Neodiprion lecontei: one gene and its partners. Each later gene encodes a partner of the first gene's protein in a complex. Links are inferred from orthologs where the notes say so. Each region holds a gene or a part of one and is shown in the gene's direction. Other genes may lie near its edges. The genes, in order: negative elongation factor D, negative elongation factor A and negative elongation factor B.

What was found.
Region 2: the proteins of negative elongation factor D (region 1) and negative elongation factor A are in contact, whole or in part, in a crystal structure (PDB 5L3X), measured with the Homo sapiens proteins. The link is inferred for Neodiprion lecontei from reciprocal best matches to the Homo sapiens genes NELFCD and NELFA. Residues at the interface, in XP_047296144.1 of Homo sapiens: Cys204, Gln205, Gln206, Leu207, Glu208, Phe210, Ser211, Leu214, Arg215, Leu218, Ala219, Ile221, Leu222, Asp223, Gly225, Glu226, Cys241, His242, Gly243, Glu244, His245, Thr246, Tyr247, Leu248, Phe249, Ala252, Met253, Ser255, Val256, Leu257; in NP_005654.4 of Homo sapiens: Leu23, Trp24, Ala25, Leu54, Leu58, Leu61, His62, Arg65, Pro88, Trp89, Met92, Val93, Ile96, Leu97, Phe100, Gly104, Ser105, Leu106, Leu108, Leu110, Asn116, Val117, Asp119, Ile120, Leu121, Glu123, Leu124, Arg125, Lys127, Val128.
Region 3: the proteins of negative elongation factor D (region 1) and negative elongation factor B are in contact, whole or in part, in a crystal structure (PDB 8JJ6), measured with the Homo sapiens proteins. The link is inferred for Neodiprion lecontei from reciprocal best matches to the Homo sapiens genes NELFCD and NELFB. Residues at the interface, in XP_047296144.1 of Homo sapiens: Arg63, Ile66, Met67, Glu68, Pro69, Ile71, Phe72, Leu75, Ile89, Gln90, Leu92, Ser93, Tyr96, Thr97, Ala98, Val99, Ala100, Gln101, Thr102, Val103, Asn104, Leu105, Leu106, Trp109, Leu110, Gln112, Thr113, Gly114, Val115, Gln121; in NP_056271.3 of Homo sapiens: Met49, Leu53, Leu56, Val58, Ala59, Asn60, Gly61, Leu64, Lys65, Leu68, Thr69, Leu75, Ile78, Glu79, Phe81, Gln82, Glu84, Asn85, Gly86, Val87, Leu88, Leu89, Ser91, Leu92, Ser94, Ala95, Leu96, Pro97, Phe98, Leu99.

What each region holds. Positions count from the first base shown.
Region 1 is NC_060266.1:4,411,042-4,418,784, reverse strand, and holds negative elongation factor D, read left to right. Parts: upstream 1-1,720; 5' UTR 1,721-1,843; intron 1,844-2,709; coding exon 2,710-2,891; intron 2,892-3,069; coding exon 3,070-3,289; intron 3,290-3,384; coding exon 3,385-3,492; intron 3,493-3,721; coding exon 3,722-3,871; intron 3,872-3,970; coding exon 3,971-4,101; intron 4,102-4,173; coding exon 4,174-4,361; intron 4,362-4,741; coding exon 4,742-4,994; intron 4,995-5,082; coding exon 5,083-5,293; intron 5,294-5,486; coding exon 5,487-5,627; intron 5,628-5,699; coding exon 5,700-5,829; intron 5,830-5,920; coding exon 5,921-5,958; 3' UTR 5,959-6,128; coding exon of another isoform or gene 6,129-6,136; 3' UTR 6,137-6,906; coding exon of another isoform or gene 6,907-6,920; 3' UTR 6,921-7,140; downstream 7,141-7,743. Other genes in the region: protein stunted-like, read right to left, coding at 6,907-6,920. UniProt on the Homo sapiens protein: Essential component of the NELF complex, a complex that negatively regulates the elongation of transcription by RNA polymerase II.
Region 2 is NC_060266.1:9,950,523-9,955,152, reverse strand, and holds the start of negative elongation factor A, read left to right. Parts: upstream 1-1,568; 5' UTR 1,569-1,593; coding exon 1,594-1,803; intron 1,804-4,031; coding exon 4,032-4,464; intron 4,465-4,630. UniProt on the Homo sapiens protein: Essential component of the NELF complex, a complex that negatively regulates the elongation of transcription by RNA polymerase II.
Region 3 is NC_060261.1:556,032-562,891, reverse strand, and holds negative elongation factor B, read left to right. Parts: upstream 1-1,842; 5' UTR 1,843-2,022; intron 2,023-2,073; exon of another isoform or gene 2,074-2,292; 5' UTR 2,293-2,524; coding exon 2,525-2,647; intron 2,648-2,725; exon of another isoform or gene 2,726-2,732; coding exon 2,733-3,209; intron 3,210-3,324; coding exon 3,325-3,492; intron 3,493-3,562; coding exon 3,563-3,688; intron 3,689-3,754; coding exon 3,755-4,024; intron 4,025-4,131; coding exon 4,132-4,422; intron 4,423-4,495; coding exon 4,496-4,696; intron 4,697-4,769; coding exon 4,770-4,922; 3' UTR 4,923-6,340; downstream 6,341-6,860. Other genes in the region: PHD finger protein rhinoceros, read right to left, coding at 1-109, 470-634, 838-926, 1,427-1,454. UniProt on the Homo sapiens protein: Essential component of the NELF complex, a complex that negatively regulates the elongation of transcription by RNA polymerase II.

The sequences.
Region 1 (7,743 bases):
ATTTGGATTATTGACGTTTACTGAAATAATCTAATATTCTACTCTACTTTTTTTTCTTTTACTTATAAGGAACAGAACTAGGAAGTATTGTATCTACACAAAGACTCGGTAAATTTAGATCAACTTTTGTAACATTAAACAATAATTTCTATGCCATTTTTTAAACTTTCAATTGTTTTAATGGAAATTTTTATAGTTTTTTTGTATTTCTCAAATTGTCAGTGGTTTAGAATCAACTATTTGTTTTGCATTGATTGCCATTTAATGCAACTTCATATCGATAATTTGATTATCAAGTTCAATCTGATTATTTTAGAAATTACAGATCTATGAAGTTTGTCTTGGTGTGGCAGCTGGATACAATAAACACCTGCTAAGAATGTTATCAATGCGAGTGATAAGACTGCTAGCTCTGTTTGAAACGTGGCAACAAAGGTATCAATACCAAATCACATCCTACAACTAGTTTTGGCTTCCTAAGTAGGTACTTATAGCACACTGGAGGTTTTCAATCGCCTTGCAAGATAGTTGATCCAATTTCTGATTCCTTAAGATCTGATTTAACATATGGAACGAATGATATGGTTTAAGCTGTGCGTTGAAGTACCTTAAAGATTGTTTTTTAATACAAATTAATTAGACGTCATGAATGAAAAACCGTTTGTGCGAATTTTTCGATTAATCAGAAATGGTCATATTTTTGTACTACGTGCCGTTTGAATTTTCTTTCATCTAGTTCCAAGTTTTCGTATTTATGCAGTAATTTGAAAAAACTAGAGATTTACATCAATATGTGAAAATTTGTACACTTTTCGTTTTTTCACTGCGTTAGTTACATTCATGAAAACATTGCCACTACCCTTATAAAAATGATTAGAAATTGGGACGTTCACCTTGAATTAAATTTCATTGAAACCAGGTGGAAAACTTGTAGAATTGTATATATCAATCACTGTATTTATACGTATAAAAATACCTACGTGTTTTATAGTTGACTTGATCAAATGGCCATGTCGTTCCGTTGCGCGATTCTTTACAACTGGAAAAATTGAACACTTAATTGATGCAACCGAGAGGATGATGGGAGACTGAACTGTCAGAAATATTTTTGACATCTAGGAATATTCAGTCGATACACCCTTTGAATTCAGTACTGTGAGAAGCACAGTACGCACCAGTTCTTTGACGACGAACGATCACAACAACTCGATTACACCCAGTCTTACATAAAAAAAAGCTTACATGACGAATACGGGGAATCCAATTATACTGAAAAATTATTAATGAGGTTATGATCGATGTATCATTGCTCGGGACGATGCAGAACCGCGCGCACCAAGCGCAAATGACAACTGAAACTGAACGCGCGCGTCGACCCAGCGAGAACTGAAATTTGAATTTGCACTTGGCGTCCGCTGAATAATCGAATTGCACAAGAGCGTCATCGGGTTGCATTTCGTCGACCCTGCATTGTGTTGAAACAAAAAAACTCACCGGAGGTTATGTAGTAGTTCTATTTTATTGACCGAGTCACTTCAATTTATTCTCCAACTTCATCATTTTTACTAGATCAGGTTTCTCAAATATGATAACATCCTGAATATTTTCTCAAAAATATCTTATATAAACGTTTCTGCTGAAAATTAGCTTGTAATATGTTTCTTTATTATCAATAACGTGTCTACCTACTTATATGTGTTCAAAATTTCCCTCTATTTTTTTTCGTTAGAAAATGGCGGCCAAGATCGAGGCGATTAACTGGAAGCTCACTCAGCTCACTGCTGTACAGATCCATAACAAGAATTTGTGAGGGAAACGCTTGATACGATTTGACGCGCGAGATGTAAGAATCTTCATTTTATCCAGTAAAAGTCTATCAATTTTCTATCTATACGTCTAGAGATATAGACATATTCCTACTGCAACCGGACGTGTGATTTTCTCCGGATTACTGTCTATTTTCTCTACATTGCAGCTACTTTTCATCATCAAATACATTTCTAACCTCAAATTTGATGATAGCTTTAGCTTGAAAATTGCCGTTGACTTGTTGTGAAAACACCACAGCGTTAGTTAATACAATCTTTCATTTCTTGTTTATTAATGCCACCATTTCTTCTTGCAAGTTAATTTATTGCACCTCAGTTTTCACGTATCGCTCGCAATGGTTATTTGCATTTCCTTTTGACTGACAATTATCTGTTACAAACCCTTAAATAATCTTAGAAACTTCAATCCAAAGGAGTTGAGTAAATCTTAGGACATTCTTGATTGAAATTAGGCAATTACTTGTGCCAGTATACTTTAAGTACACGGGTAATGCTAGCTCTAAAGCTAATTGTCAAGTTACATATTTTAGCTTTATTGTACTGTTAGTGATGCTTTTTGGAATTTAAAAAATTTGAGCAACCATTCATCGCTAACAATGCAAAGAAAACTTGGCGTTGACTTAAACATTGTCCCTAATCCCATATGAAACTATAGAACCTACTCTTCACCTATAATTTCTCCAAAATTATGTATATTTTATTTATTGCATATGTACTTGAGGAAACATGTCCTATCTAAACATATATTCATATTTTTTTAATTGTTCGAAATTCTCTCAGCGAAGTAACAAGTATAAAGTCCAGATACGTTGAATTTTAATTTCTATTAAATATCGAATAACCAAATAGCTATCTGTCAATAAAGTGTTTAATATTCTAGATGGAGACTGATTATGATGAGGATCGAGGAGGATGGGGAGACGACATGGGTAGAGGTGGCCCAGACGATTTTGGAGGTGACGATGGAACAGATAATCCTCAAGATGTTCTTAAAGAATGTTTGGACAAGTTTAAAACGCCGGACTACATCATGGAGCCTGGTATATTCACTCAGTTGAAACGGTAAGACTAGCAAACCGAGAGGTCATTGAATTTACAATTCCTATTTAATTTTGTTTTTTGCTTCATTTTGGTATATTTGTATTTATCTGTTCTTACGATTGGTTATTTACACAAGACCAAGCCTATCCACACTTGGTGAAGCATATGAAAATCATCTCAATTGAGTATTTTCTTTCAGATATTTCCAAGCAGGCGGTAATCCCGAACAAGTTATTGAATTATTGTCTCAAAATTATACGGCATGTGCTCAGATGGCAAATCTTCTGGCCGAATGGTTAATTCTTGCTGGTGTAAAAGTAACGGATGTACAAGCTATGGTAGAAAATAATCTCAAAGACATGATTCTTAAAACGTTTGATCCAAAAAAGGCTGACAAAATTTTCACTGAGGAGGGTGAAGTGAGTTATAATTTTTTTTCCAAATTTCATTCGTGCTTAGTTTCAAAATCTTGAAATGTATCATTTTGTAAATAAATTTCTGTTCTACTTTACAGACTCCAGCCTGGTTAACAGAGATGATACAACATCCTACTTGGCGTTCACTGATTTATAGACTTGCTGAAGAATATCCTGATTGCTTGATGTTAAATTTTACCATAAAAGTGAGTAATCATAATTATATTTCATTAGAACATTTAAAATATTTATTTACCTGCTAATAAGTTTGTTAAAGCTTCCCAGTATTTCATAATTGATATTGTGATAGTTATTCCTTGCGCAAAATTGCTGTTTGCACGAATTGCTACTATACATAATTGATGTAAAAATATCATGTATACTCTACATAGCAAGTTATCAAATAATCCATTTCCATTACGACATTTCTCTTAGCTTATATCTGATGCTGGATTCCAAGGAGAAATAACAAGCATTTCAACAGCTGCACAACAAATAGAAGTATTCTCGAGAGTATTAAAAACTGCCATTGCAGGATTCCTTCAAAATACCGAGGACTGGCAATCTAGCATACAGGAATGTGCCGTAAGTTGTTCCTCATAATAAGAATAAAAGAAGTAACATTTTTTTCAGACCGCCAAAAATCATAAACATCACTCATGATCCATAAAATTTTACTTACAGAAAATGGTTTGTCATGGGCAACATACATATGTGTACAGTCAAGTATTGTTACAAATTTTAGCACAAGAACCTCGGGGCGGTTTTACAATGAAACGACTTTCACAAGAGATTACGAAGTGCGCTCAACAGAAGTAAGAAAAATCATTCAGTTTTATTTGTGGTTAATGTGATCTACTGGTACATGACAACGAATACGTTTTCAGCCGTCACGATGTAACTCCCATAACAATGGCATTAAACGGAGCAGCTGGTAGTCCAAGCGCTTGTCAAGCCTTAGGTTCGATGTTATCACGAAATACTTTGAATCCGGCTGATATAACAGTATTGTTTAGGAATTACTCCAACCCAGAACCTCCTCCGGTTGAATTAATTCGGAATCCTCAATTTTTAGGTAAATATTCAATTGTCTAATTCTGTTATTCTCCCTTAAAAATCGTACTAGTTATAAAAAAAAAATAAGACTGATAATTACGGAATACAGATAGTTATGGAAGCTGTAAAAATCGCATATTTAGAAATCTTCCAAGTTTGACAAAATTTTATTGGTTCTAGAAAAGTTTTGAAATGTGTGAAAAAGTTTGAACTGAACTAAAAATGTTTTATGAGTCACATATAATGGCAAGGTAGCAATACATTTTTGGCATTTAGAAACTCTGTAAAAATTGGAAGGTTTTAGTAAAAATTGAAGTCGGTCGATTGAAGAAAATCTATTTTTCTGTGAATCAGGACAATTTTATTTTACTATATTCATTGTCGTATAATATTCTACAGAATTATTGGTTGATGCTCTATTTAAGCCAGGAGTAAAGGTAAACCCAGAGCATAAATCAAAGTATATTAACTTGCTGGCATATGCAGCTAGTGTTTGCGAAACACCAGCCAAGAAGGGAACACAACGAAAGATCAACAAAGATGAATTAAAAACCACGATGCAAGCCATCGAGAAAGTTCATAACATTTGCAATATTAATAAAGGTTCAACTGAACTGATAGCCGAGTTGAACACGTTGTATCAGTGCATTAGGTAAGCACAATCTGAGCTCAAAGCAATCATACGCTTCGTAATTCCAAAACGATTGATTGGTAGAAAACTATAAAATGTGTAATTACAGATTTCCAGTGGTGAGCGTTGGTGTGATCAGATGGGTTGCATGTACGGTAACAGAACCATCGTATTTTAAATTGAGCACAGAACACTGTCCTATACATTTGGCTCTTCTGGACGAGGTTGTAGCCTGTCATCCTCTCTTACATCCAAAAGTGCTTCAACTCTTGGTGCAGTTATTTGAGAGCAAACAGGATGAACTCGAAATACTTGTTCAGGTGAATACCTAGTTACCAGTTGTTATATTTTTATCGCATAATACTATTACCTAAATTTAGACATTTTTAGTATCTGTGTGAAATTACAAGTTTCTAGAGCAAGGCAGACTTCCCACAGTTTCACAGTTTGCAAGCCTCTTCCTATAAACGATTATTGCAAGACCCAGTATTTGACAAACTTATAATATTTCAGTTGGAGATGAAAAAGATGCTGATAGACCGAATGGTCAATTTATTGAGTCGAGGATGTGTTGTCCCTGTTGTATGCTATATTAAGCAGTGCTGGCAACGCAGTGACACTGACGTTTCCCTTATTAGATATTTTGTCACCGAGGTAAGCACCGATTTGGCTTTTCCAGCAATCTGTGTTTTTTATATTTTTACTAAATCTGTATCTGCATTTTAGGTTTTAGAGGCTATTGCACCACCATACACTCCGGAATTTATCCAACTATTTTTACCTATGGTGGAAGATGATGAGATAACAGGCACGATGCGTGGCGATGGTGATAACGACCTTGTTTCTGAGTTCATAGGTTCGTTGGCCCAACATTACATCATCAAATTGAATACCATCAAAGTGTTACTCTTTACACAGTGTTGTACTATTCATTTCATTGTTTTCAGTTCACTGCAAGGCACACAGTGGCACAGCTGTGAGATGACGGTTAAAGAACAGAGACGCCAGTGCTCATGGAGAACCGAAAGAATAAATTTACCGGTTGTGTGAAGATGTGTTTATTTTACATAACAACTGGTATAATCATACATGAATTACTCTTAATCAACCCGCATTCATCAGGTGAACTGCCCTATGGTGCCACAATGTTGTAGTTTATTGCTCTGAAACAAAGTTATTCATTTTAAACAGAAATTAGTTAATTCAAGTTTTTTTTTTTTTTGAATATTTATTAGTTTATCATACTATTGATTAGTAATATGATGGCAGTAGAGTGTCATCTACTTGACTGACAGGATCAGGCTACTTCGACTATTCGATCATGACAAGGACTTTCTACTCTCTGTCAACTATTATGCACATGATCCACTACACGCAAGAGCGATATAATAGGATAATAAGACCAATGGCGGAGACTAAGAGTCCAATAGTCAAGACGTAGCCTGGTCAGATGGCTGTATACAGCTGCGAAATAACTGGAACTTAGGTAAAGATTTTACCACCGTACAATAAAATGAACATGTTAAACTTTTACTGAAGTTGAAATAAATCATACCGATTTTTCAAAAAATTATTCAGTCTATCTTAGTCATAACTCTCAGTCTGTGCATAATTAGGGCTTCGTTCGTTTTAGGGAAAAAATTCAATTCTCAACCGATATTGCATGCCTTCAAATGGTATTAATTCAATAATCAATTGTTGATTGTTTGGACAAAAGGATTAGTTGCTTAAAATCTTGAATCAGATGGTTAGTTTTCACGAAATTGTAATCAAGTCCCATGCGTGATTAATAATGAAACATAGATACTTGTAAATGATTAAAATAATTATTATTATAACACATCAGTTCACACTTTCACAACATTTCAAAATGCAAGTACTTGCGTTTTTTGTTTTATCACACTTGAAACTATAAACTTACGTATTGATGACTTTAGTATTTATCGGCTGTAAAAGGTACAAAATTACTCAGATAATAGAAATCAGAAATATTAAAATTAAGGGTCACATTTTAGTATTTTGTGAAAATCTTTGGAGTACATCTGAACTTTTAATCCTTCAACTGCTATGATTGAATCAAAAGGCAAAGCTTCGAATCGGTCACGGATTTCTAAAGTATATTGTTAACCCATTGCAATATTCATTTATGAATAAAGATGAGAGGCATCATGAGGAACGAAAAAAAGTAAGGATGCAATTTGTAACTAAAAAAGATATTCGTAGCTATATTTTACAGTGAATAAAAATGGATTTCTTACTTATAGTGAAATTAGCTCATTGGCCAAAGTCATGAGGTCAAAATAAATGAATAAAAATGCAAGAAATCATTTGGATGATTTTTAAATTACAAAACTGGATTACCAAACTATTTCAATGAATTTTTAGAATAAATTGAACTGTTCAAACTGGAAATTTTACTAAAGTATTGTAACTATACAAAACAGGACTGATTGTTCCATATTCCAAGTGAACTGTTTTTTTATTAATTGGAATACTAAGAGAATTGTGTGACTGCCGTAGTTAAGAAACCCAATAAAACGTGATCAAAATCTATGAAAGCCGAACCGAATTGTATTCAATATAATCAATTGGTAAATTCATGTGCAGCCTTTGTATTGCCAAAAAAAAAAAATCAATTGGAATTAACGACTCTTCTCTGGGTCAAATTGTGTTTATTAAATATTTGTGTATACGAAGTAGACGAATATGAGCAAAATCATTAAGTTAATTTTGATTGCCATTCAAATAAGAAATATCTTAAACAAATTTG
Region 2 (4,630 bases), about 5.5 Mb from region 1:
TCGATTCGCTCTCGGAATTTTATTGTTTCAATTATTTGTTCTCTTCCGGGTTACCCCCACTACAAAAAAGGTGGGTTCAGTAAAAAAAAAAGCAAAAGGAAAGAAGGAAAAAATCGACCGGCTCTCGAAATTTTCTTTCTTTGATTTTTTTTTCTCTCCGAAAATACAAAAAAAAGCCGGGATTGAATTTAAAAAAAAAGAAAAAAAAAAGAGTGAACTGCGATCGAACCCGTGTCTCGCATCACTCCATCCTCATGTTTTTTTTTTTTTGAGGAGGAAACTATATTTATTTAGATGAACATTAAATGTTCAATATTTACAATATTGCATTTGTAATTATCTTAGTTTATGTAACTCCGGCTTAAATTTTAAGCTCAATCTAACATTTTGTTTTACATTAAGTGGTTAACTTGTTTTTTAGTGTTTTGTTCAAGACTTGAATGCAGTATTATAGCAGAGGCAGCAGTAATTAACTTAAATACAGGAAAACTTCGCGCAAGAACCTGTGATTGAAAATTCATCCTCATGTGGTATCCACTCAGCCACACCACAGCTACGTCCGTGATCGCGCGTTTGCTCGGTATGTTTATGGAGCTTGCTTGGAATTCGCTGATGGTTCTCTGGAAGATTCAGTTCGAGAAAAAAAAAATTTCCTCCAACCACTTGCCCATTGCACATTTTGCATAAATGTTATCGAGCTGGCTTCGTATATTTTTCCATAGACTGCGTGTACAAATATTCGAGAACACCAGGCGTCACATATTTTCATATCAATAAAAAAATAATATTTATTAAAAAAAAAAAAAAAAAAGTATTGGGGCTGGGAATGGTTAATTATTTTGGTTCAGCGTCCGCTAATTGAATCCAAAATTTATCAAATCTGGAGATACTTTTATTCGCTGACATTCATAATTGAAACAAAAAAATCCCAATCCTTGCATTCCTGGAAACATCTGTGCGAGCGGGGACAAGGATGCGATTGGCAACCGCTTGCTCGAGCGACCGAGTGCATGGCCGCCTAGGTGTCAGGTCGGAAATGGGCCACCTTCGGTGCGTGGCCGCCTAGGTGTCACGTCGACGCTCCAACCTAGCTGGTATCACGAAAAGCCGAGCGTTGGAGATCTCCCTACTCATCTCTGGTAGTACGAAGATCTCGTAACATGGTTTTTAAGCCTTGGCTAGTGAATTTCATAGTTATTTCCATCTAGGGATATTCCAAATAGTTAGACAGTTGTTTTAGTTTCTTATGGTTACAAGATTCTCGTACTTTGAGTTTGGTTAGTTGATAAAAGTAACATGCAGTAATAATAGTCGATAAAACATACGGACGTTCCGGTCGGATGTTACAACAGAAAGAAATTTTTTCTATCCCTGTCGCTCATTGGCGTCGCTGCTGGGAGGGGGGGGGGGGGGGGGGAGAGGGCGGCGACACGGGTGGTGGTGACCGTACTAGGTTACAGCGACCCTTGCGACCAATGTAAGAATTATTGAAAGCGGATTCAAGAAGTGAGTCGCCCCCCAGCACCAGATTTTCAGACCTGTATGTAAGATCGTGGCTCAGGCCATACAGAATTTAATTACACAATTTTCAATATGGCAAACGTGCGAGATAGTGATACTTCGTTGTGGCTTCATAATAAGCTCGGCACGTCAAATGATAGCTGGACTGGCAGCTCAATTTGTTCCCAATTAAACGCCGAAGTTTTGCGAAACATAAAAGATTGCTTTCCGGATTTGCAAACTCAAGTTAAGCTCAAACTACTCCTTTCTTTCTTTCACCTACAAAGGCGCAATGTCGAAGAAGTATGTATCGTTATTATAAAATAGTCGATAAGTATTCATATTTTGTTACCATTTTCACAATTGAACTTGATATCCATGTTCAATGATCTTTTTTATCAATTCATTTAATCTGTCACAACGGTTTTTCTTATATCCAGCCTGTCACTTGTATCAAAAATGTAGTTCTTCAACCTGATACCATATCTCCTGTTTTTCCGTTACTAGGCATGAAAATTCTGGTGTAAACTATCTGCGAAAAAGGTAGCCAATCTTCTGCAGTTTTGCAACAGTTCAGTCAGTGCAAATATTCTATACAATGAGAAAATGTCCATTTTGATTTGTATATGATAATATCATTTATTAAAGTGTCTACTCACACTATGGAGTGAACCGTCAACGGACACTCCGGACTTACTAAGTGTTGAGTTGTCCCGAACTGTTTTGCAAAATATTTGAGTGCCTGAACGATTATCCGTGGCAAGCCAAAATTGAGTGATAAAGGCTAAATCAAGTTAGATCTCTGTTATACCCCGGGTAGAGTTTCAAAAAATCATATTATTCTATCACTATCCAAAATCATAACATATACCAGAGGTCTGAAACACGCTTTCGGTGTCTGTCACCCTCAGAGATGATATTTCCAAAATATTCCATTCACTTGAAAATTTCTTCGGAAACCGCAGATGTTTTGAAAAAACTTATGCGATTACATTACTAACATGCGATCATTTGGCATATTTAGCATATTCTGCCTAAGTTCACTCTGTAGTGCAAATAGACACAGTGTTTATTTATACTATGGAAATTCATTGGTGAAGTGGCTGCATGTGAGTCACGCCGAGGTATATATTGCTCACACCAATATTTTATGTGCCTCGACGAAGTTGCTCCCTCCGCAGTATTGTAACTAATTCTAACTCTCTGAAACAGACATGAGTTGTATAATTTGTAATGTGCTTTAAATTTCAAACGATCTTTTGAATGAAAATCTTAACAGCCGTATGTCACATTAGTTGTTTCACAAAACGATTTCAGTGTGCATGACAGTTTTCTCCACAATTAGTATGAATTGATGAGTAAATAATTTAAATTGTGGGAAAAAGTACCAAGAAGACTTGAACGATGTAAATTACTTGAGTTTTATGAGATTGAATTTAGTAACGTTATTATAAGGATGCAGTTTCAGGAAATATCCTTATTTTGTAACTTTAGGATTGTTTGGAATTCAGGAAACTGTAGTAGATTAAAATACAAGCATATAATGAATTTTTTATTTAAGTTATTCTGAAATTGCACAAAATTGATTTTTTCCTCAATGTATATTAACTTTAACTTCAGTGGATTACCGTTTGAATGAGCATTCGGAATTTGGAACCTCTGATTTGTACCTTATGTGTATGATATAATTACAAAAAGCGACGAAATTTGTGTAAGCGATTTCACACTTGTCCTAATTTTACCTGTAAGGCTCTCGCGTAACTTGCATGCACTTATTTTACTGTTCGAACATACACGTTGTTACTTTTATATTGCATCTATTCGGATAACAGAGTATAAAACTGAAACTATCAGATGAACGATGCAGTTATTGGACGACGCTGAAGTTAGCTGCAGGTTTCAGCCGCAGGTTCCGAAATCCAGGGGCGAATAAGGGCCAGGGGCGCCCGAGCTGGAAATTTCGATTCTCACGTTCTACCATACGTCAAGTAGTGTCAATACTCGGATAAACATAGAAATTTGTGAAAATATGTGCAAGACAGTTACGAGCTCCTGATAAACAATGACGATTTAGCAGTTGTCGATTAGTAGTTGCAGCACTCAACACAGATGTTCACAGTCATCTTCTCGCTTTCCCTAATGAAACTTGTAGCGTTATATTGGGGGTGAAAATAGGAACATTTCTGAATTATTTCATAATTTTTTGAATATTTCTAGTCACCAGCCGCAGCTTTGAACTTAGAAAATTCAACGTTTTCGTCAATTCGGGAGAGTTTATTATTTTTTTTTGGGGTTAAGTTATATCGGGGGTGAAAATAGGAACATTTCCGAATTGTTTCCTGATTTTTTGAATTTTCCTACTCACCGGCCGCAGCTTCGATTTTGGAAAATTATAATTTTTTTTATAACTGCCTGAAATTGATGAAATGTATTTGAAAATCAATGGTACCATGGGCCTCAGCAGTTTTCGAATACCCCACTGATTTGATATTTTCACTACTCATAGTAAACGCATTTTTTTTTTAAAATAGTGGCGTATTGAGTTGGAAGAAATCATCGAAGTAGCATCACTGGACAATGAGTTATGGGTATCGATGCTGTCTGAAGCGATGAAAACATTTCCATCAACAGGCTCATTGAACACTGACATATCAGATCTTGATGAGCATCGTCCAATATTTGGTGAACTAGTCAATGACCTGAGGAAGTTGGTAAAAAAACAATGTGATGCAGCTATGCTTCCGCTAGAATGCCACTATTTGAATAAAACAGCATTGACATCAGTCGTTGGGCAGCAGCCAGCATCTATCAAGCATTTCACACTCAAGAGGAAACCCAAGAGTGCTGCTCTGCGTGCGGAATTGTTACAAAAGAGTGCAGATGCAGCTAGTAATATGAAAAAAAGTGCAGCCCCAACTGTGCCAGTACGAAGTCGTGGAATGCCCAGGAAAATGACTGATACAAGTGAGATTAGATTAATTATCAACTAATACTTGAAATGATACTGAATTTTAGACATTTCGTTGGAGCCATTAGCTGTATGACTAATAAGCTGTAACAATTTTTTTTCTGATTTTTTTTTGGGCTTTTGCCATTCAAAGAGTAACATTAAGTCCTTCAAAGTAATCAC
Region 3 (6,860 bases), on another chromosome or scaffold:
CAGCGTCAAGCCTGAAGTCACAGAGAGCCCGAAGAATTTCTACCTTTTGGCGTAGTGGCAAAAGCTCAAAGTCTACATCCGTATTGAAAGGATTATCTCTTCCATATTCCTGTAATGAAAGATAGCTCATAAATTCTGTTCAGTTGTATAACCTGTAGACTCCAAAATATTTTGAAGAGAAAGTGTACATCAAATTTTCAATTACATTGACAGTAATTGTCTAGCACCCTGGATAAAATTGATAAAGCTTATGAAACGAGTAAATTCAAAAGTAGCACAGTCAGGCTCTCACTTTTTTGGTACTAGTTACTTTATTTACTCGTTGAATATATTATTGTACTATCAATCGGAGTACTGTTCACAAGACTGATTTAGATGGTGTAGTTCATATCAGAAATGAGGAATTGGTCTTTCAGACATCAAATTTTAATGTACATACTCTAATCTACTTTGGAAGCTAGACACTCACTTGACACTTTTTTCTAAAGAGTCTACGGAGGAACATCTGATAATTAAAAGTAGAGATGTCATTGCGAGTGTCATTTGGTAGACAGCCTTCAAGTAATCTGACAATTAGTTCTTGCAATAGCCGGCCTTCTGTACCGCCGTCTGTGAGAAGAGCTTCTTCCAAATCCTGGAAGAAAAATAAGTGCAAATATTTCCATTTTCTATTAATGAATCATTTCAAAGAACAGAATTAGACAGAACGATTATGATGATAGAAATTGAGTTTAACCAAACAGGAAATCCTGCCTCAAGAAACAATTATAGTAAAATTCTATAAATTCTATTTGATTTAGCTAATTCGATACACGACTTTTGCATTGAACTAGATACCTCGATGTCAAAGTCCAGCAGATTGAAGGCAGCCCTAAACAATGAGCAGAAATGTGCGATACTTGGCACCTCCCACCACGATTGAATGTCTGGAGACAGAAACAAGCGAGTAAAAAATTTGCAGCAAGTTTTTAAATAACACAAGATTGGTTATTCAACTCTGGAGGTTTCAGGAAATTGTAAAACGTTGAGTCGACCAGGTATGATTGGAAAACTGACACATATCTAGCGGCACATCCAGTAGAAAGTAGAACACATCATTGATTCTAGTTACAGTTTGGTAAACGCTGTTCAAACTACTACGATTGACACAGGCACGATTCACTTATCATCACATCTGTCACTGGAAGATTCTTTCTCGTTTTGAAGGTAGAACAAAAAAAAAAAAAAAAGGAAAACAAAATAAGTGAACATTAGAAATGTGCGGATTTCATTTCGCGCTCAGTCGTTTTGAAATGCAAGTTCTGTGTTTATTCTCGACTGGATAACACTAATTGATTCCGGTAAAATGCGTCCGATTTTTGGTTATCCTGTCGGTTGGTACGCGGCGATGCTAAACTGAAGTTGGCTTCGGATATATTGGGCTCACCTAAAATCCCGATGAAAGTCGGAAACATAACCTGTCGAGGAAGGCAGACGGGTGCCACCACCCCAGTAAACGGAATTCCACCCCACAACAGCAGCCAGCAGCAGCAGCAGCAGCAGCAGCAGCAGAAAGAACGATCGCTCGACCGATCGGTTTTTGCGTCCAATGCACTTTTGAATTGGTATAAATTTTACACAGATAAGACATCGGGAACGGCGAACATGCTAATTGAGTAACTCGCGTTTCTACGTATATCAATTCAGCGTGACATTGTTGTATCGTACTTGTTCAACCTGTTTAAAGTTAGAAAAAAAACGAATTTATTTTCGCTTAGTACCCCGTTGTTGCAACCTGACGCGCGCGACACTTGCGGCCATCACGTTGCATTACTGCCAAATATACTAGGAGAATCAAAGACAGGAGCGAGATCAAAAATACGCGGTCAAAATTTACTATAAATGGGCGCGCAATCGAGCTGATTCATCTTTTTAGCATATCATTTTTTACACGATTACCAGCAACGCTACAAACAATCATAAAAAGTGTCGCGGCTTTTAAATTTAGCGTCACAAGTTTGAATTTGACTGACAATTGTAGAGGTATAGTATGATATCCTTGTATACATATAAATATAGCTAGACCGTTGACGACCGACTAGACTATAGTCAACTATAGTGCGTCGCAGTGCGTCGGATCAGATAAATAATTTCCATGTCTATTGAGTTGCTTATTTGTTGGTGAATGCTAGACGCCTTATAGGCCATTCATTTCCGTAACATATGTATATAAAACTGCGATACTTTCAGTAAAATACCCGGTAATACCGATTTCTAATTTTTCGGTATTGATACGAATTTTATATTCAACAGGAAGACGGCACAACAATCTTGGAAAGAAGAAAGACTAGTCATTCATAATTCTACTGTTGTAAACAATTGTCGTTGTCCTGCCAGCCGCCAATGTACAACCGTCAAACGTGGTTCAACGCTCAGCTTTGAACAGTTCTGTATTTATTTAGGTTAGGATAGGTTAGGTTAAGTCGGTTTGAATACAGAACCGCTGTCCCTTGATGGAAACACCGTATATTTGTGGGCTGTGAAAATGAGTGCGACCAAAAGTACGGAGGGTACGGGATTAGAGGATCTCGGAGTTCCAGGCCAAGTGTTTCTCAGAGATGCTCTGACCAGTTGCACCGATCCCCTGAAAGCCATTGAGGAGTTCCAGGTAAATACTCGGCGCTATTGTTGACTGGTTAAATCAAGCGATTACAATCTTGGCATGAGTATACTTACTAATCCGAAGATTCCAGTTAGAAAATGGTATTCTATTGCCTTCGTTACGTCCAATGTTACCGCTATTGGACCTCCACGGCGTCAGAAGGCTGGACTTTCACGCCTCGGTATTAGAAGAGCTTAGAGAAAAACTTGTGAAGCGGATAGCCGAGATTGGGGCTGAGCGAGGGGAAAAGGGGGGAAGCGACCGTAGGCTTAAGGATCTGTTGGCCAAGAGCTTTCCTGCCGTTAGAGTTGCCGCGCTCAGGCCAGTCGTTATGTGTATTTTAAGAAATACCCCTCATATCGATGACAAATACCTACGAGTACTGGTTAGGGAAAAGGAACTTTACAATGACGCTGACACGGAGGTGAAACGACAGATCTGGAAGGACAATCAAAGTCTTTTCGGAGATGAGGTATCGCCTCTTTTCAGTCGCTACATCATTGAAAAGGAACAAGTTTTGTTCGATCATCGGAACCTGAATGCCTTATTTTTTTCACCATCGCCCAAGGTTAGTTCTGATTGTGTTTAATTCGGACCAATACGTTTATTATCAGCTATTCAGTTCGAACTTGCTTCCTAACATTCCCCAAGTTGACTTGAACAAATCTTGGTCTAATTCGAAGGTGAGGAGACAAGGAGAAGTGGTACAGAAGCTGGCACACATGATAGGTCACAGCGTGAAACTTTACGACATGGTACTCCAATTTCTCAGGACTCTTTTTTTACGAACTAAGAATATCCATTACTGTACTCTTCGGGCTGAGTTGTTGATGGCACTGCATGATCTAGAGGTTTGAATCAAAAATATCATTGTATCAATTTCTCTTCAAATTAATGAAACAACTGATGATTGGTCTCTAGGTTCAAGATATAATATCTGTAGATCCATGCCACAAGTTTACTTGGTGCTTGGATGCTTGCATCAGGGAGAAAAACGTGGATGTGAAAAGGTCTCGAGAACTACAAGGATTTCTTGATAGCATCAAGGTACGATAGCAAGAAACTATAATTTCAAGCAACGACCAATAAAAATGGATCATTTTTTTTGCACAGAGAGGCCAGGAGCAAGTACTTGGGGATCTCAGTATGACACTGTGTGACCCATACGCCGTGAATTTTCTAGCTAGTAGCGCAATAAAAATAGCTCTTCATCTAATTAACGGGGAAGCTCTGCCACGGGATAACGCTGTCCTTGTTCTACTTCTGAGAATGCTGGCCCTGGGCTTGTCAGCCTGGCAAATGATCGACTCCCAAGATTTTAAGGAGCCGAAACTTGACAGTCAAGTTGTGACGAAGTTTCTGCCAGCACTTATGTCTCTCATGGTTAGTCTGATACTTGATATACGATTTTCCTTGACTCTATATTAATTTTGCAACTGAAACCTTAGTATTACCAAACTGCCGTAACAAATTAACTCCTTTCAAAATAGGTAGATGATCAGATAAGACAATTAAATGGAAAGCTCCCACCAGATGAAAGGGAAAGTGCTATCGCTATTATTGAGCACTCTGGACCACCTCCAGATGCATGTCAAGCTTACGCTCAACTTTCTGGAGTTGCAGCTGTTTTATCCATGTATCACGCTTTATACGTTGGCGGAGGTGGAAGTGGGAGTAGCGGAAGAGCTCGAGGTGATGCGAGAGGCTTAATGCGGGTCTTGGCAACGCTACCAAATTGCCAGGCGCATCGCGCTTTTGAGGATCCATTTTTACACACTCTGGTGAGTTGACAAGTGTCGAGAATATGTTGCACCTGACTGTTACAACGAAATAATCAATCTGCTCCTGGCAAAGGTATCTCTGCTGATCTTAAATATGGCTGATGAGTTTTCCGGTGAATCATTTTGCACCGTCATATTCGACGAATTCTTCCTGGCAGGATTAACAAGGGACAATGTTACGCGACACCTCTTGAAACTTTTATGGTACATTCATCCCAAACTTCCTCCGGCACGATTACATTCCCTGATGAAAGCCTTGCAGCCCAATAGCCAGGTAGGTCTCACGTTACTGGAGTTTCATCGTTAACGTCAATGTCACTTATTTATAAAACTATTATAATTTACAGCACAACGAAGCTGTGCATAGTCTCTATCAATCTCTCCGAGAAAAAATTGGCAGCCAATCAACAGAAGATCTTTTGATATCGTCAACTTCTATGGATACACTTGAATGCCCTGATTCACCACTAGATGTTGTCCCTACACCTGGGCCTCGTTAACTATTTTACATCGACAATAGGATTTTACGGGGTATGCGATGTATTTAGAGTTTTATCATTATACACAAATTAGAATGTATCGCAATTCAATATCAGAATAGAATGTATTAAGAAGCACCTTGATTCAGATGTGTTTTCAATAGATGATAGGCATTTTTATTATTTACTTCCAATGACTTCCTTTAAGGATATCACTAATGTGGAAACAACACTTGTAGCGTGTACAAATACATCGTACATATTTTTTTAATGGTACCATGTCTGACCCATGATATGGTACGTCACCTTGCGTATCCGTATGATTTAAGGCCAAAATGAAACTGTTTAGCGTATCACCCTTTGCCTTTAATCACGGAATCCCTCTTTTCCCCCACTGAAAATTGAATATGATCACAAATGTATCATCAACTGTCAGAAATAACGTGGGTTATCAAAATAATTAGAAAACAATTTTATTTCACAATTTTCATTGCGTGCATCAAGTTGTGTTGAGAATAGTTATCACCTACATTTCGCAATTTACACTTATATGCGATGAACATAACAGAAAATAAAACAGTTGAACGTTCACAAAAATATTCGATTCATTCAAAAATTTGTCTGCCCCATGTCTTATATTTCAACGTCATTACGATGGAATAAAGAAGAAAGGGTTTCGAGGTAATTTCAATGTATACCAATTGTCTATTCAGTTAAATCATAGTTGTCACAATGGTTCTTCGATAATCCGAAATTATTAACATCGGACTGCAAATATTGGGCTCAACCCTTGATACGCTAAAATTATAAGCTGCAAACCCAATGTTATCAGGTGCAAATTTATTTTCGATATAACGTTACTTTTTACGACCAAACGTGCGACTAAATCGAACAGAAATATTGTACATATTTCCTATTCCAATTAATGTTACTGAAGTTTTTGCACTCCCTAACTGTATCAAGTCATGTTACATACCTATATTTTCAATTTATTTTCTTCTTTCCGCTACTAAAATTGGATTTGTCAATATTAGTTTCATTATAATATTTTTAACGTAGAAATGGAGAGTTACTCTGTATCAATCATGTCCACGGAAATCTGTAAGCGCTGTGAAGAATATCATGACATGCTTGTTTGATTACCAACATTTCCAACTTTGACTAAATCGAGGTTGCTTTACAGTACGTTAAAAATATTACCTAAATTGCAACCAAATTCAGAGCGTTTATCCTCTACATATCAGTTGTCATGTACATTATAATTGCAATTAGGTATGTGGATGCAAATAATTTCTACTGAGGGCAGATTAATCGTAAATAAAACATCAAAGGGAAAATGGAAATGTATGTCTCTCTAAATGCCTTAAAACTGCATATTTAGGTATACTTGTATTCACTGCAACGAATTTGCCATTTGGCAAAGTTTCACATCCTATATAGGTAATAAGGAAAAATTGTAGAACTAACTTTATGTAGTTTTCACTATTAACAGCCACTGCCATGCAACCCGTAGTAAATAATAACTAAATCTCTACGATGTACGTGGATGAACACGTGCGTGCGTGTCCAAAGATAAAAAGTCATTAATAGCTACTGTAAATAATTCTTATAAGTAAGAATAGTACATTATGTAACAAGGACATAAAGTCCAATTATTCCCATGGTAAAATGACTCCATAATTTTTAAAAATTTTTTAATCCATTGTAATGTGATGTGAAACGTTTAATCGAATTACATGGCTCTGTCATCAAATGACGCAATATATTTTGTACTGAGTATTAAATAATTTGTGAGAAAATTTATCATATGCGAGGAGTTGAACTAATCTATCGATAGTTGTCACAATTAAGCGATTTTAAATCGAAACGAATGTTTATTACAGTATATTAAAGAACAAATTGTACCTCAGTGATGATATTACGTTACATACACAAGTAAAATATCACTGCTACTTTAGT